Alligator mississippiensis: one gene and its partner. The protein of the gene in region 1 interacts with the protein of each later gene in a pairwise test. Links are inferred from orthologs where the notes say so. Each region holds a gene or a part of one and is shown in the gene's direction. Other genes may lie near its edges.

What was found. The genes of interacting proteins can lie anywhere in the genome.
Region 2: the proteins of WASHC3 (region 1) and HSBP1 interact in binary tests that used the Homo sapiens proteins (3 or more experiments, as listed by UniProt). The two-hybrid records come from large-scale screens. The link is inferred for Alligator mississippiensis from reciprocal best matches to the Homo sapiens genes WASHC3 and HSBP1.

What each region holds. Positions count from the first base shown.
Region 1 is NC_081827.1:107,401,546-107,408,399, forward strand, and holds the start of WASHC3 (WASH complex subunit 3), read left to right. Parts: upstream 1-3,849; 5' UTR 3,850-3,909; coding exon 3,910-3,960; intron 3,961-6,813; coding exon 6,814-6,854. UniProt on the Homo sapiens protein: Acts as a component of the WASH core complex that functions as a nucleation-promoting factor (NPF) at the surface of endosomes, where it recruits and activates the Arp2/3 complex to induce actin polymerization, playing a key role in the fission of tubules that serve as transport intermediates during endosome sorting.
Region 2 is NC_081833.1:72,035,946-72,042,812, reverse strand, and holds the start of HSBP1 (heat shock factor-binding protein 1), read left to right. Parts: upstream 1-3,840; 5' UTR 3,841-3,903; coding exon 3,904-3,948; intron 3,949-3,961; exon of another isoform or gene 3,962-4,133; intron 4,134-5,092; coding exon 5,093-5,159; intron 5,160-5,341; coding exon 5,342-5,460; 3' UTR 5,461-5,461; intron 5,462-6,792; 3' UTR 6,793-6,867. UniProt on the Homo sapiens protein: Negative regulator of the heat shock response. Negatively affects HSF1 DNA-binding activity. May have a role in the suppression of the activation of the stress response during the aging process.

The sequences.
Region 1 (6,854 bases):
CCTTCTCTTGCTATCAACATACTTGTCAAAACCCTTCTTGTCACCCTTCATATCCCTTGCTAACTTCAATTTCAATTGCACTTTGGCCAGTGGCGTACCGTGGGTCTCCTGCACCCGGGGGCCAATTCTTACATTTGCACCCCCTCCCTCCCCAGTCCACGGCCAATCACCGAGTGAGGAGGGGGATCCCCCAGGGGTCAATCACCAAGCCTGGAAACCGGAAGTGCCGGTGCGGGGCCAAGTTGCCTCGACCCCCACCCAGCCAGCACCCAAGGACATGCCCCGCCCCCCGTCAGTACACCACTGGCTTTTCTCTTCCTGACTTCATCCCTGCATGCCCAAGCAATGCTTTTATATTCTTCACTAGTTATTTGTCCAAGTCTCCACTTCTTAGAAGCTTCCTTTTTGTGATTTAGTTTACTGAAGAGTACCCTCCTAAGCCAAGCTGGTCTGTCATACTTGCTAGTCTTCCTGTACATCAGGATGGTTTGTTCCTGCACTCTCAGTAAGGCTTCTTTAGAGTGCAGCCTAGACTCCTCTTCCCCTCAGACTGGCTTCCCAGGGGATTCTGCCCAGGAGTTCCCTGAGCGAGTTGAAGATGCTTTTCTGAAGTCCAGAGTCCTTATTCTGCTGCTCTCCATCTTTCCTTTCTTCAGGACCCTGAACTCAATCATCTTGTGGTCACTGCTGCCCAAGTTGCCATCCACTACTACATTCCTTATCAATTCTTCCCTGTTCGTGAGCAGCGGGTCAAGAAGAGCACAGCCCTACTTGGCCGCTTCAGTACTTGCACCCGGAAGTTGACCCCAACACTCTCCAAAAACTTCCTAGAGTGCCTGTGCACTGCTGTATTGCCCTCCCAGCAGATGTCAGGGTGATTGAAGTCCCCCATGAGAACCAGGGCTTGTGATCAGGAAACTTCTGCTAGCTGTTTGAAGAAAGCCTCATCCACCACTTCTTCCTGGTCTGTTGGTCTATAGCAGACCCCCAACACAACATCACCCTTGTTGCTCTCTCCTCTTACCCTAACCCAGAGGCTTTCAACAGGCCTATCTCCAGTTTCATACTGGATCTGTGAAGAATCATATGGCTCTTTCACATACAGCGCAACTCCTGCTCCTCTTCTCCCCTGCCTGTCCTTCCTGAACAGTTTGTACCCATCCACAAGTATCTTACATATAAATTGACAAATGGGCCACAGAAAAAAAATCATTACATCTGTCAGTCAAAAGATATGAAAGACAAAGACTGAATCTGCCTTCGTGAAACACAGATCTGTGAAATGCCAAATATATCTGAGAAAAATAAACCACCACTACCATAGAATTGATTCTTGCCATGGAAGTCCAAAACATGAGAGCAGTAAAATTTTTGTAATTTTCCAGATTATATAGACTTTGCTGCAAATGGCTTGGGAAATGGACATCCTCTAATTTCAGGAAAGGAATGTTTTATTTTTCTGAGTCTTTGTACCAGGAATTGGTCATTAAATGTTCACAGAATATCTAGGTTTTCCAAGGTCAGAAAAGGTCATTGTGATAATTTCGTCTGAACTCCTGTATAACACAAACCAGAAAATTCCACCCGGTAAGCCCTGTATTGCTCGGGCTGAGTTCTACCAGATCTTCTTAAACTCTTCAGGTTGATGATTTCTTATGCAAAGTCATGACCCCCTTTAATTTATGATAAAAGTAAAAGTAAAAAGTATGTCAGTGAGAACAGTGAATTTATACAATTTATCTGGGCAAGGTTGTTTCAAATAAATTTGTTCAAGGGCAAGTGTGTAGGAAGTACAGGAGTGAGATTTTCTTTACATTAAGTTGCAGCATTTTTTTTTCCAAGACCTCATGGCCTATCTGACTTTCTTCAAGAGTTGTGACCACTGGTTGAGAAACCATAAGCTACAGCAGGGGTGTCAAACTCAACCTGTGCCACAGGCTGAATGTGGATCCATGGGACAAGTGGTGGATGTGGCAGGGCTGGAGGCAGCAGCAACACAACCAACAGTTGCAGAGGTGATGGGGCAAATGGCCCTTTGTGACAATTAAGGACAGTGCAAGTGGTGGTGACAGTGGACCAACTGACTGGGGGGCAGTGTCAGCACAGCCCTCCCTCACCCATATCCAACAGCGCCCCCAATTCTGTTGTAGGCCCTACTCCCCACTAACCACGTCCTCAAATACTCTGGCCTGTCTCTAGACAGATGGAACAGTTCTTTGGGCCAGACCTGTCCTGCAGGCTGGATGACTGACACTCCTGAATTAGAAAGACATCCCATCTTGATTTGAAACCTTTGTGATGGAAATTGTTCCAAACATTAATTAAACTTCACTTTTAAAAATGTGCACCTTATTTCCACTTCCAAGTTGTCTGGCTTTGACCTTCATCCTCCAGATCTTGTTACAACTTTGCTAAATTTAAGAGATGTCTGCTTTCAGACATCTCCTGCCTGATGACTACAATCAAGTCTCCTCTTAGCCTGATTTTGGATAAAACAGACCAAGCTTCTTGAGCCCTTTCTCCAAGGCAGTTCTCCAAGACATCAGAGCATTCTGACAATTCTTTCCTGAACTCTTCTTCTATTTTCAACCCTTTTAAAACGTGGAGACAGCAAAACTGGCCAGAACGTGCCAGTAACCATTACACTGACACTATACAGGAAGACAACACCACCTTTCTGCTACAGCTTAAAACTCCTCTGTTTAGGCATTCAAGGAATAGTGCATGAGGGTGTTCATTGCAGAACTACAGTGGGGGCTGGTGTTCACAAGTTATCTGAGCCCTTGAGCCCTGTCATTGCTCCTCAGGATGCAGCTCCACCCACGGGTGGATCTAGAATTTGGAACCGGGGTGAGCTGTGTCTTCACACATAAAGCAATACATATTTTCCACCAATTAAACTAGAAGCTTTACTAATGTGCTAGGAGCCCAGGGCTGCAGTATTCAGTTTAAGATTACAGTGAAAACAAATATAATTTCATTCAAATGAGTTAAAAACAATCTGCAGGGCTGTGAAATAGGAGCTTCCGGACAATGAGCAGATAACAGCAGAAGTGCAGAACAAAGGATTCAGAGATTCAGAGATGTTAGGGGCTGGAAGGGACCTCATGAGATCACCCGATCCAGCTCCCCCACACTTGGGCAGGAAGGCCTGCTGGGGTCATCACTTAACTGGTGGAACATCAAGACCATTAAAAAGAAGAAAGCAACCTTAACACTGGTGGCATGAAGAGTTTAGAAGGGTAGATTATGATGGGTATATGATGTATTTATTATTATTATTATTATTATTATTGAAAGGGTAAGTTATACCGAGCCACGAAGTCATTGACTCCCTCAGCGCTACCTGACTAGGCATGCTACTGCCACTGCCAAAAGGAATCAAAGGTCCTGGCAGAGGTGATATCTTTTGTTAGACCAACTAGATATTTGCACCAAAAAAAATTTTTTTTAATCTTTATTTGCAAGCTTTCAACACATTTGGGGTGGAGCAGGAATCAAAGGGGGTTGTAACGCACCCCCTGGATCTGCCTCTGCCCCCCTCCCCTCAGCCCTGCTGGCTTCACTGAAGCACCCCCTGGGGGAAAAGCGGGGGAATAAGAGGCAAGGGTTTGTTAAGGTGGCATCTTTTATTGAAACAACCAAATACCGCAAATCGAGTCGGAAAAACAAGCCCTGTCCTTAATCTCAGCCCCTTCAAGAGGTGGAGACACCGGAAGTGGACGCAGGTGGCTTTTAACCACGCCTGCTTGGAGGGGCGCCTGGGCGGAACTACCACTCCCATGATGCATTCCTCTAGCGGCTCCCTCCCGCGCATGCGCAGAGCAGGGTCGACCCAGTGGAGTCGGTTTTGCTTCCGGCAGGCGGAGGTCAGAGGCTGGAAGTCGTTTCTGGCCTCTGCCCCGGGGGATGGACGAGGACGGGCTGCCCCTGGTGGGCTCCGGCATCGACCTCACCAAGGTGCGGGCTCGAAACGCAAGTGTTCGTGGGCTGAAGCCCACTTCATCAGATGCTGCAGCGGGAGGTGCTCTTCTGCTCGAAACTGAGCAGGTTTCCCCATGTAGACTTTCGGGTGCAGACCATTTCAGGTGGCTGCGCCTGGGGTCCTCTGCGGGCAGGGCCTTGGTAGTCCGAAGGCAGGCAGGAGGCAGGGTAGATCAGGCACCTTGTAGGCTATGGGAAGCTCGTGCTGTAGCTGTCTGTGTGTTGTGGATAGCCTGTGAGGTGCCAGCGTACTCTGCCTTCTGCTCTCCTGCCTGAAAGACTAACCAAAGTGGGTGGACGGATGTGGAGATATCTGTGTGTATATCGCAAGCTTTTGTGGACTGAAGCTCACTTCATCAAAGCTGTGACAAGAGGTGCTCAAAGCTGAGCAGTGTAGATATTCGCAGGAGTTCAGGGCTGGAAGGGACCTGGTGACATCAGCGGGTGCAGCCCCTGCCCCGGGGAGTCCACCTGCTGTGCCTGGTGCCGTCTGTGAGCAGGGGAGTGTTGGTCTGCAGTCCAGGAGAAGGCAGGGTAGATCAGGCACCTTATAGACTAGCCAAAGTAGGTAGATAGAGATAGTACAAGCTATGAACTTCTACAGTTAAGAGGAGGATATTAACTGATCTGTTGATCTTGGAGTTCAAAGTGTAAGGGGCCGAACAAGGTGGTAGTTAAGAAATTCTCTTTAAAGAATCACTTTTGCAAAACATGCTTTCTCTTTCCCAAATGCCTCTTTTCTTTTCTACCTCTGAGCAGTTTTGGCACAAAAAGAGCTGTCAGCAGTAAGTCCTCTGCTGCAAAAGCAGAATGCAGCAGAATACTTCATCTATTAATACTTTCCATGTAAAATTTTACTGTTTAACAAAGTAGTATTTCTCAAGTCGGTGTAGCTTTTATTTAATTTCAGGGTTCCTTATGAACTGCGAAACAGAATGCAGAACAGTTCAGATTGATTGTGGGATCCAGTCATCTCCCAGGTGTTCCTGGGAGGTGTTAAACCCAAGAGAAATATAAATATTTGCTATCCAATTTTTTTGTGAAATTGCTTGGGTTGTGGGTAACACAATGCTAAACAGAACTACAAAAGTGGAGGAGTAACTGAATAGGTGATTCCTATATTTGTCTTACACTTTTCAACTTGTTAAATGTGGACTGCTTATGGAACCACCACTATTTTTGCAATAGTCTTAGATGAGATTGGGACATAATCATAGTATTTTGATTCAGCTTTGTGTTCATATTCTCTCATTTTTACCCAAAGGTTGAGACTTTACAATATTGTTTATATTGCAGTAGCATTTGCAGGTCCAAATCAAAGCCTTATTGTACCAGATGCTGTACATCTAAGAAAAACAGAAATTCAGTGCCTCAGAAACTTCCCATTTTGGGCCTAAGTAAACATTTGCATGAATAGTTAATCCTTCTCAAAATACATAGAACCAAATGGTTCACAAGGTTAGGTTTCTTAGCCCCCTGCGAAGTGGCTGGGATTATATACAGCTGCTGCAAACAGCAGCGTGGGACTGCTGCAGTACTCCAGCTGTGGGCCATGTCTTTTATTTGAAGGGGTACTGCTTCTCTCGTCATCTGCTTGGGACTGTTGATGAGGTCTAGCTGTGTGGAGAAGTGGCACCCTTTAATATAAAAGCTGCAGCAAGCAGCTGCACGTGTGTCCTTCACTTAGCCTTCTGACAGTCAAGTTGCTATCTGATGAAATGATGAGCTCTTGCTCACACAAGCTTATACAGTATAAACTCATAAATCCGACGTGCTTGGGGTTGAGCACTTGCTGGAAATTTGAAAACGCTGGATTTTTTTGAACTGGCGTGATAGCCGGTCGCGGAGCAGGGGCGAGGGTAGCGGCAGCTGGTCCCAGAGCAGCGGCCACACATGGAGCAGTGGCACACTGTGGTGAACGGCGGAAGCAGCCACCATCTACAGACTTCTCCCTCCATGTCCAGGAGGGTGGTGGGCAGTGCCAGATTTTTGATCATTCCAGATTTTTGGTATCCAGATTTATGAGCTTATACTGTACTTCTGTCATTCAGTTAGTTTATACAAGTGATTTTCAACCAGGTACCACAGCACCCTGGGGTGCCTTGAGATCCTTTCAAGGGTGCTGTGAGGTGCCACACAGCACTGCTAGGTGTGCAAGCATGCTTCACAGTATAAACCCAGAGATTTCGAACAGGAATCCATAGTATTAAAACAGTTCTGCCCTGCTGTGGTCTTTCAGAGTTCTTTGTAACAGTAGAATTGATCTACTGTTTTTCTGCATTGAAAAAATGAGTGAAAAATAAGAGATGGCATTTTCTGAAGGTGCCTTGTGTCTAACTAACAAAGTGCATCTCTACCCTGCCTTCTGCCTGAGTTCAAACTAACATGGCTAACAACTGCTTTCTATTCCCAATTGTAACTAGATACTAGTTTATGTAAATGTACTTAATTTCCCCAGTACTAAGACCCAAAGGGAGAGACCCTGATCCACTTCCTTTTAGAGTTAGATTTTTATTTTACTGTGTTTTACGATGACTTTCAGAAAATTGCTTTTAGGTTAAAACATTCTCTTTTGTGATGAAAACCTCTTTGTTTATTCAGGTGGTATTCCCTTGTCTCTACACTCACACTTAGAAGATTAAAATATTGATTGATTTTTTTTTTTTCATGTTCCTATATTCATGGTATAGTTAGGACAAATGATTAAAATATTTTCTTAGCCTCTTTCATATAAACTTCAAAATCGGGTCTTGAATACAAGGGTAAGAATTGGAAATGCATGTTTTCTGCGTGTAAACTTTGGGGTTTTTTTTGTTTTGTGTAACATAGGTTCCAGCTATTCAGCAGAAAAGAACTGTGGCATTTCTGAA
Region 2 (6,867 bases), on another chromosome or scaffold:
ATGGCCTGACTGGAACTACTGCAGCTGAACTGCTGATTGGGCATATCAAATCCATTTTTGCTAGTCATGGTTTGTCTGACGCGAATGTCTGACAACGGCTTGCACTGGAGTTTAAGCCATTTGCGACGGAGTGCAGCTTAACATGTAAACACGGACCCATTATCTGGAATCCAACAGGCTGGTGGAAAACGCTGTCAAGATAATGAAGCACTTATTGAAAAAGGCTGCAGTTAAATTAATCACTGTTAAATTACAGAACCCTGCAGACGAAGATCGAGTTGTTACTAGTTGACATTTGTTCAACAGAGAACTGGAAGCAAGCAGGCCTGGGCTGTTAGAAATGGAGGTCAGAATCAGTGGGGAATTGCAGAAGTATTAGAGACAGGAGGCAAACCAAAAAGGTGTGATGATTTGGTGTCCCAGGAGCTGCTGCCATTTAAAGAATGGCCATCTCTGCTTGCAAAGTTACTGCATCCTCAGATGCTCTGCCCTGGGAAGGCTGCCTCCGAAATGACAACAAGCAGACCTGCAGGGTGAGCCCGTCATTTCAGACACATGGAAATGTACTGTGAAGGACCACAAATGCCTTTTCCAACTCCCTGCTGAGTTGACCACAGGGCAACAATAGTAGGTGAGAGAGCTGAACCTCAAGACCTGGCATAATTGGGATGAACGGACTTACCACAGCCTGGCAAGTGCTGCTGATGACTCGGGGTGGACTCATCAATCCATGAGACATTGTGAGGCTCAACAGCGGAGAAGCTAACGGAACAATATTAACAAATTGAGTTCATAGATTGGTTATAAAGTATTTGCCATTCTGTATTATGTTAATGTTGCTTTATTGTTAGTATTGTGTTTGTCTGGGGAAAGAGCTGTAGAGAACTCTGCCTTTAAGAGGTTCAGGCAAGAAACAGTTGGTACAGGCAAACAAGGTGCTTTGGGTAACTCATATCTTTTATTAGACCAACTCAAATAGTTGGAAAAATTCTCCGTAGCAAGCTCCTGGGTTTAAATGCCTATCATCAGGCTGAGGAAGCATCTGCAGTTGGTGCATGCTCTCAAATTCACACCCCAAACCCTTGGACAGTCTCTGGATTCACTGGTGTGCCTGCACACAAACCAATCTTATTGTCTTTCGGTTTGGCATCACTTGGGACACATACAGGTAAAAACAAAAGGCATTAGGCTGAGCAGTAATCGGAGTCAATTAAGTAAGCAATTGCCTAAACAGCATTAAAGAGATCGATAGGAAACAAACAGCAACCAAGCTTTGCCACAAGGACATACAGCAGAAGGACAAAATCATGTCTGCACAGAAGAAAGAGCTGGCAGACGGAGAAATAGTTATATGCAGCGCATCTACACAGATGCTTAGAGACCTTGGTAGAAAGGGATGGATAAGGAGTGTTAGCGATAGACTATGCAATTCAAATGACAATCACAACCCCAGTTTGGTAAACACGTCCTTTAAATAAAAAAAAATTTAAAAAAAATTATTTTTTCTCCATTCCTCAGACCAAGAAACTGTAATTAATTTCGGAAACAACCCACTCATAGATAATGAATCTTGTATTACTTTAACACTGTTGTGATGGTCACCTCCCTAATGGAAATCCCCCTGTCTTCATTTCATGATGGCTTAAGTCGGAAAGATGCTATTAATACAGCACAGCAGCCTGCAGTTGCCTGGAAGGTGCCTTTTGAAGATCACGTGAAGATAATGAGAAACGTCCTGCACTTGCAGGCTCACCACACATTTGCTGGCCACAGTTAACTAGAATCTCTCTTCACAATCACCAAGCCACAAAAATGCTGGCTGTTTTACAAAAGAAAACTATCAATGAGCTAAGGTATCTGCGGCCAGCGGGCCTGTGCCAAGGAAAGCTTCTCCTGCATCTTCTTCCTTTGTGAAATCTTATCCCATGCAGCTTGGCAGCACCTATCCTTATGCCCAAAGATCACGGAATGAAGATGTGTCTGGCACGAATTGCATCTGCTCAAACTGCTCACATTTTCTCCTAGTTTCTTTCCTACACACAATCTGCCATAAATCCCCAAATATGCTTTCAGTTAGTCATCAGTCCCTTACATAACATTTCTGACTTCCACTGCAAATCCATAACGCCGCTGTCCCTACAGCTAGCCCTCCTCAGAATCCAGACTACCTGTAAATGCTTGCAAATCAGGCTTAACTGCTCATTTGTGGTCACCTCCAAAATTAAATAACCCCCCCCCCAAAAAAAAAACCAAAACAAAACAAAAAAGGTGGAGGATTACTTCAGCTCAAACCGTTTGGAGTCTGGAAAATATTTATGCTCTCTCCAATTCGTGAAAGTCTTTCTTAAATGCATGAAAGAAACTATGACATCTCCCTATGGGCACAGCTTTTGTTTGAAACAGCACAACAAGCAGCAGGATTATGGCTAAGCTTAATGCTTTGCAAAAATAAATTAATAAAGATTTAACATCTTCACTTCTTCCTATGAGATTTTGCCACTCCTCACTAGTTATAATTAATACTCTGCCTCCTACTACCCAAAACAGGGCTTATTGTCTGAACAGAAACACTATGGATGCCTTTGCATTTCAGATCCTGCTTCCAGCTGCAACAGCACCTCTGGCTTCAGAACCACCCCATTTTCCTGTATATAAAACCCCCAATATAGCTTACACCCTATTTTTGAAAGGCATCCTGAAGAAAAAAAAACACACACAAACTGCCCAGGGTTATGGGTGCACAGAGGCTAATCTTCAACCCACTCAGCCTCCCTTTCCTGCATAACTAAAGCCCTAGATAAAGCCAGGTCTCCATGGGTGGATCTCTGAGCTTTAAAAGAGCCAGACAGTGGGTCCAACTGCACAGTTACTGCACGGTCATTTGGCGGCTGCGCAGTAACCACCATTATTTTGTAGTCCCGGCAGCGCATGGGTTGTTTCCGACCCTACTGAGCAGTACCAATGAACTACTTGTTGCTTGTTGCTGCTGCAAAATAGCATCAGAGTCAGGGTTTCGTGCCCGCCAACACTAGGTCGCCCTCGCATCTTGTGTAGATGCGCTCCCTGTGAAATAGATGGCATGATCCCCCTAAGAAAGCTGAGCTTCATTAGTAACCAGAACTCATGGTAGAGCTCACGTCTTTTATTAGACCAATTAGAGTTTTGCAACCAAAAAAACCCAACTTTAATTGCAAGCTTTCGATTGCAAGCTTGCAATTAAAGACATTTTTTGTTGTGGCAAATATCTACTTGGTCTAATAAAAGATATCCCACCTCTACCACGAGTTCAGATTACGGTTTTCTCTAGATGAATACGTCTGCACCCCAGATACCTGAGCTTCATTCGTGGTACTTCCGGACCCTTAAAAAGGCGAGATTTCTACAACCTATTCAAATGGCAGTCGTTGCTCAATTTTGCAGGCCTGTTTTAGGGAATTTAAAATACAGAGGTCAGAAGTAAGGGAACACGGGAGTACGTGGAGCGCAGACCCACGCAGTGGCGAACTATGGGTGTGAACTCAACAGTGCCATGACTCCATCAGCTGCCTGAAGAGCAATTCCAGGGCTGCTGCTGCTCAGATGGGTAAACATTAAAAACAAACAAACAAACAAACAAACCCCTTGCTGGCTTCATAGGCCACCCCCACATTTAATTCTTATGTTTTTGGAAGGAGGGCTGATTGGCAGGGAGGAAATATGCGTGTTTCTACTAGACAATACGGTAGGCATCACTGTCTTTTGTACTCTCTGAACAGCGAGGACTACATTCCCCACAATGCCCCTCGCGCCGGGCCAGGACGGGCAAGGGAGGGCTCTCCTCTCGCGAGATTTGGGCGCGGCCCGGAAGTGCCCGCGCCTTGGAGACGGGAGCGGGACGCGGCGCGCATTGACGGAACCGACGCCATGGCTGAGACCGACCCCAAGACCGTGCAGGACCTGACCGCCGTGGTGAGGCACTTACCTGGGGCCGCGGCCGTGGGCGTCGCCTCTGGAGCAAGAGCCAAAGGGACGACCGTTAGGGGCGGGGCCGGGCGGCCGTTGGGGGCGTGGTCTGGGGGATGGCATCAGGAGCAGCGGTGCGCATGCGCAATGCGGGCTGCCAGGGCACAAGGGCCTGGAGGGGTGACGTCAGGAGCAGGGGTGCGCGTGCGCATTGCGGGCTGCCAAGGTGCAAGGGCCTGGGGGGTGACGTCAGGGGCAGCGGTGCACATGCGCAGTGCGGGCTGTTAGGGCACAGAGTGCCTGCTGCTGCCCCCTACTGGCAGGGAGGTGGGGAGGCAGGTACCACAGCACAGGGGAGGAGCTGGGCACTGAGTTCGAGTGTTCCCAGTGTCGCGTCACAGGAAGCTGGGCCCCCCAAAAGCCCAGCGACATCTGGACAGGGCTGGATGCGGCTGCACAGCCTGCATTTTCCAACCCGGCGGTATCCCCGCAAGCTGGATGCTTGTCCCCGCCGGCTGGACTTGCGGCTGAGCGCCGCCGTCATAGAGCTCGAGCTCCCTCATGCTCTTGTGTCTCGACGTCCCCCTGTTGGCGTAGCGGTGGGGAGGATGGGGCTGCCCCACGGCTTCAAGCAGGGTTGCGGAGCTGCCCGGCCAGCCGTTCTCAGCCTTTTTAGGCTCGAGGCACCCCCTGGGAATTGCTTGCTTTTAACTTTTCACGCGGTTTTTGACTATGGGTGGATAATAGCAAGTTTCAGGTTCTCGGACATTTGAGGCTGGAGGGGACACCTCGCGAGATCGTTGGGTGCCCCGGCCCAGCGCATGTCCGCCGGGGTCAAATAGCCCCGGCCCGGCGCGCCTCTGCCGAGTAACCAGTGCGCGCCTGGGCTCCTGTGACAGAGCGCTCTGCAGGACGTGACGGGGCCGAACGTTTTAACGCTGTGGATCCCTACGTGAAAACTCTGGTTTCGTCAAATGTTGGCTCACGTAACTGTGGTAACGTCAGGCGACATGCTGGCAGCACCCTTGGAAGGATATCAAGGCACCTGGTTCAGAGTTACTGCACTAGGCTAAAGAAGTAGAAAGAGGGGATATTCGGATGAAAAGTTTGAAAGCGATGCTTTAAACTTAAGCCTTTCCCTGTGTTTTAGGTACAGACATTGCTTCAACAGATGCAAGACAAATTTCAGACCATGTCTGACCAGATCATTGGAAGAAATATCCTTTTTCGTACTCGTGCCTCTCTGGGTGCGCGTCAAAGATATTTGCAAACTTTTATGTCCATCAAACGCTTATCTTTGCAGCTCGGGTTGTTACCGTTAGCCGTCCCGAGTGAAGTTATATGCAAGGAAATAAGAGTGTAAATCATGTACAGTTCATTTTCTTTAACTTGAGTTAACTTGATGACATGAGCTGTCGCATTGATGACCTGGAGAAAAACATAGCCGACCTCATGACGCAGGCAGGAGTGGAAGAACTAGAAGGAGAGAACAAGACGCCTGCTCCTAATAAGAGCTAAAGTGAGTGACTTGATTCGCTTCCCAAGTGAACTCTTCTCCCTAATGATGTAAACAGCAGAACTGGCATTGACTTTAAAGGGGCCAATTTTTCATGCTCATTTGTGAGGCAGACTGAAATTCAAATAGAGCAATTATGAAATGCTGTAACAGGAATTTGTATCTTGTGCAGTGAATGCTAGGATATTTGTTTGTGATCTTTAGGAAGCTCCTACCAACTTGTTCAGGCAGGACGGCTGCTTCAATGACTAGAGGCATGGAGTATTAAAAACTGGAAACTGAGAAAAATACGACGTAGGAAGAGTGCAGACTGGTGTGCACAGCCTCTGCTCACGCAGCCTGACATCACTTGTACAATTAATGTTTATTCTGACTAATTGGAGTTGCGCTGTTGTTGCATTTAATTTCACTGACTCATTTCTGCCAGTCTTCCTAGCAGTGTCACTGTTTGTTGCCCAAAAATAGAAACTGGGCAACAACCAGCTGCTTCGTCAGCTTTATAAGCATACTTTCATCAGCTTTATAAGGTATGGGTTCTGGCATGAGACTCCATTAAGAAAAATCTTTGGACTAGTCCAAGTTTGCAGATCATAGTGAAGTGATGCAAGTCCTATACACAGGGTGTGCCTATGCTGGATTAGTGAGGTCAGTTTTGCTTGTGAGATTTCACTTAGTTCAGTGAAAAATTGACACAAGGTGATTTTATTTTTTTTATTTTTTTATAATTGTTGTTGGCCTTGAATATAGGAAAGTCCCAGTGTTCCCCATAGAGCAGTGGTTTTAAGGAAACTGGTTTTAAGCAGTTTTAGAAGAACCTTAAAATTGGGGACAGAACAAAATATCTTTTTCACTGTATCATCAGCCCTCAGCCCACACTCCCAATCCACATTGTACTGTCTTGTCTGCTGGAAGGGAAGATTTTACTTTGAATTCTTACATGTTCATCTTCTCCAAATATGACAGTGAAATATGTGGGCGGATGAGGGTTTTGATCCTGCAAACTTCTATTCAGGTGTTTAACTTTATATTCTTGGCATTCTTGTTAGTAAAATTAAGGTCTTGCAGTTTAGATTAGTATGATCTTAATTGCACCAAAGTTTAGCTTTATTCTTCATATTCAATCATGCTTAAATTCCTACTGGGACCTTGCAATTGCATAAACGTGGAAGTTTCACACTTGCCAATCTCTCTTCATTTAAATGGGGGGGGGGGGGGGTGGAGACTGGCTGCCAGCTTACCTTCTTTGTGTTCTACTAGCTTTGTGCAATATTTCTGTTGACTGTACTTGTCTAATCAAATTCTTATTTGCAATAATCTTTTATCTTCCTCAACAGGTTGCCAATAAATTAGGATGAATGCTGGGATACATTTTTTACAAGCCCATGGGATTACAGAACAGCTTTTTGCAA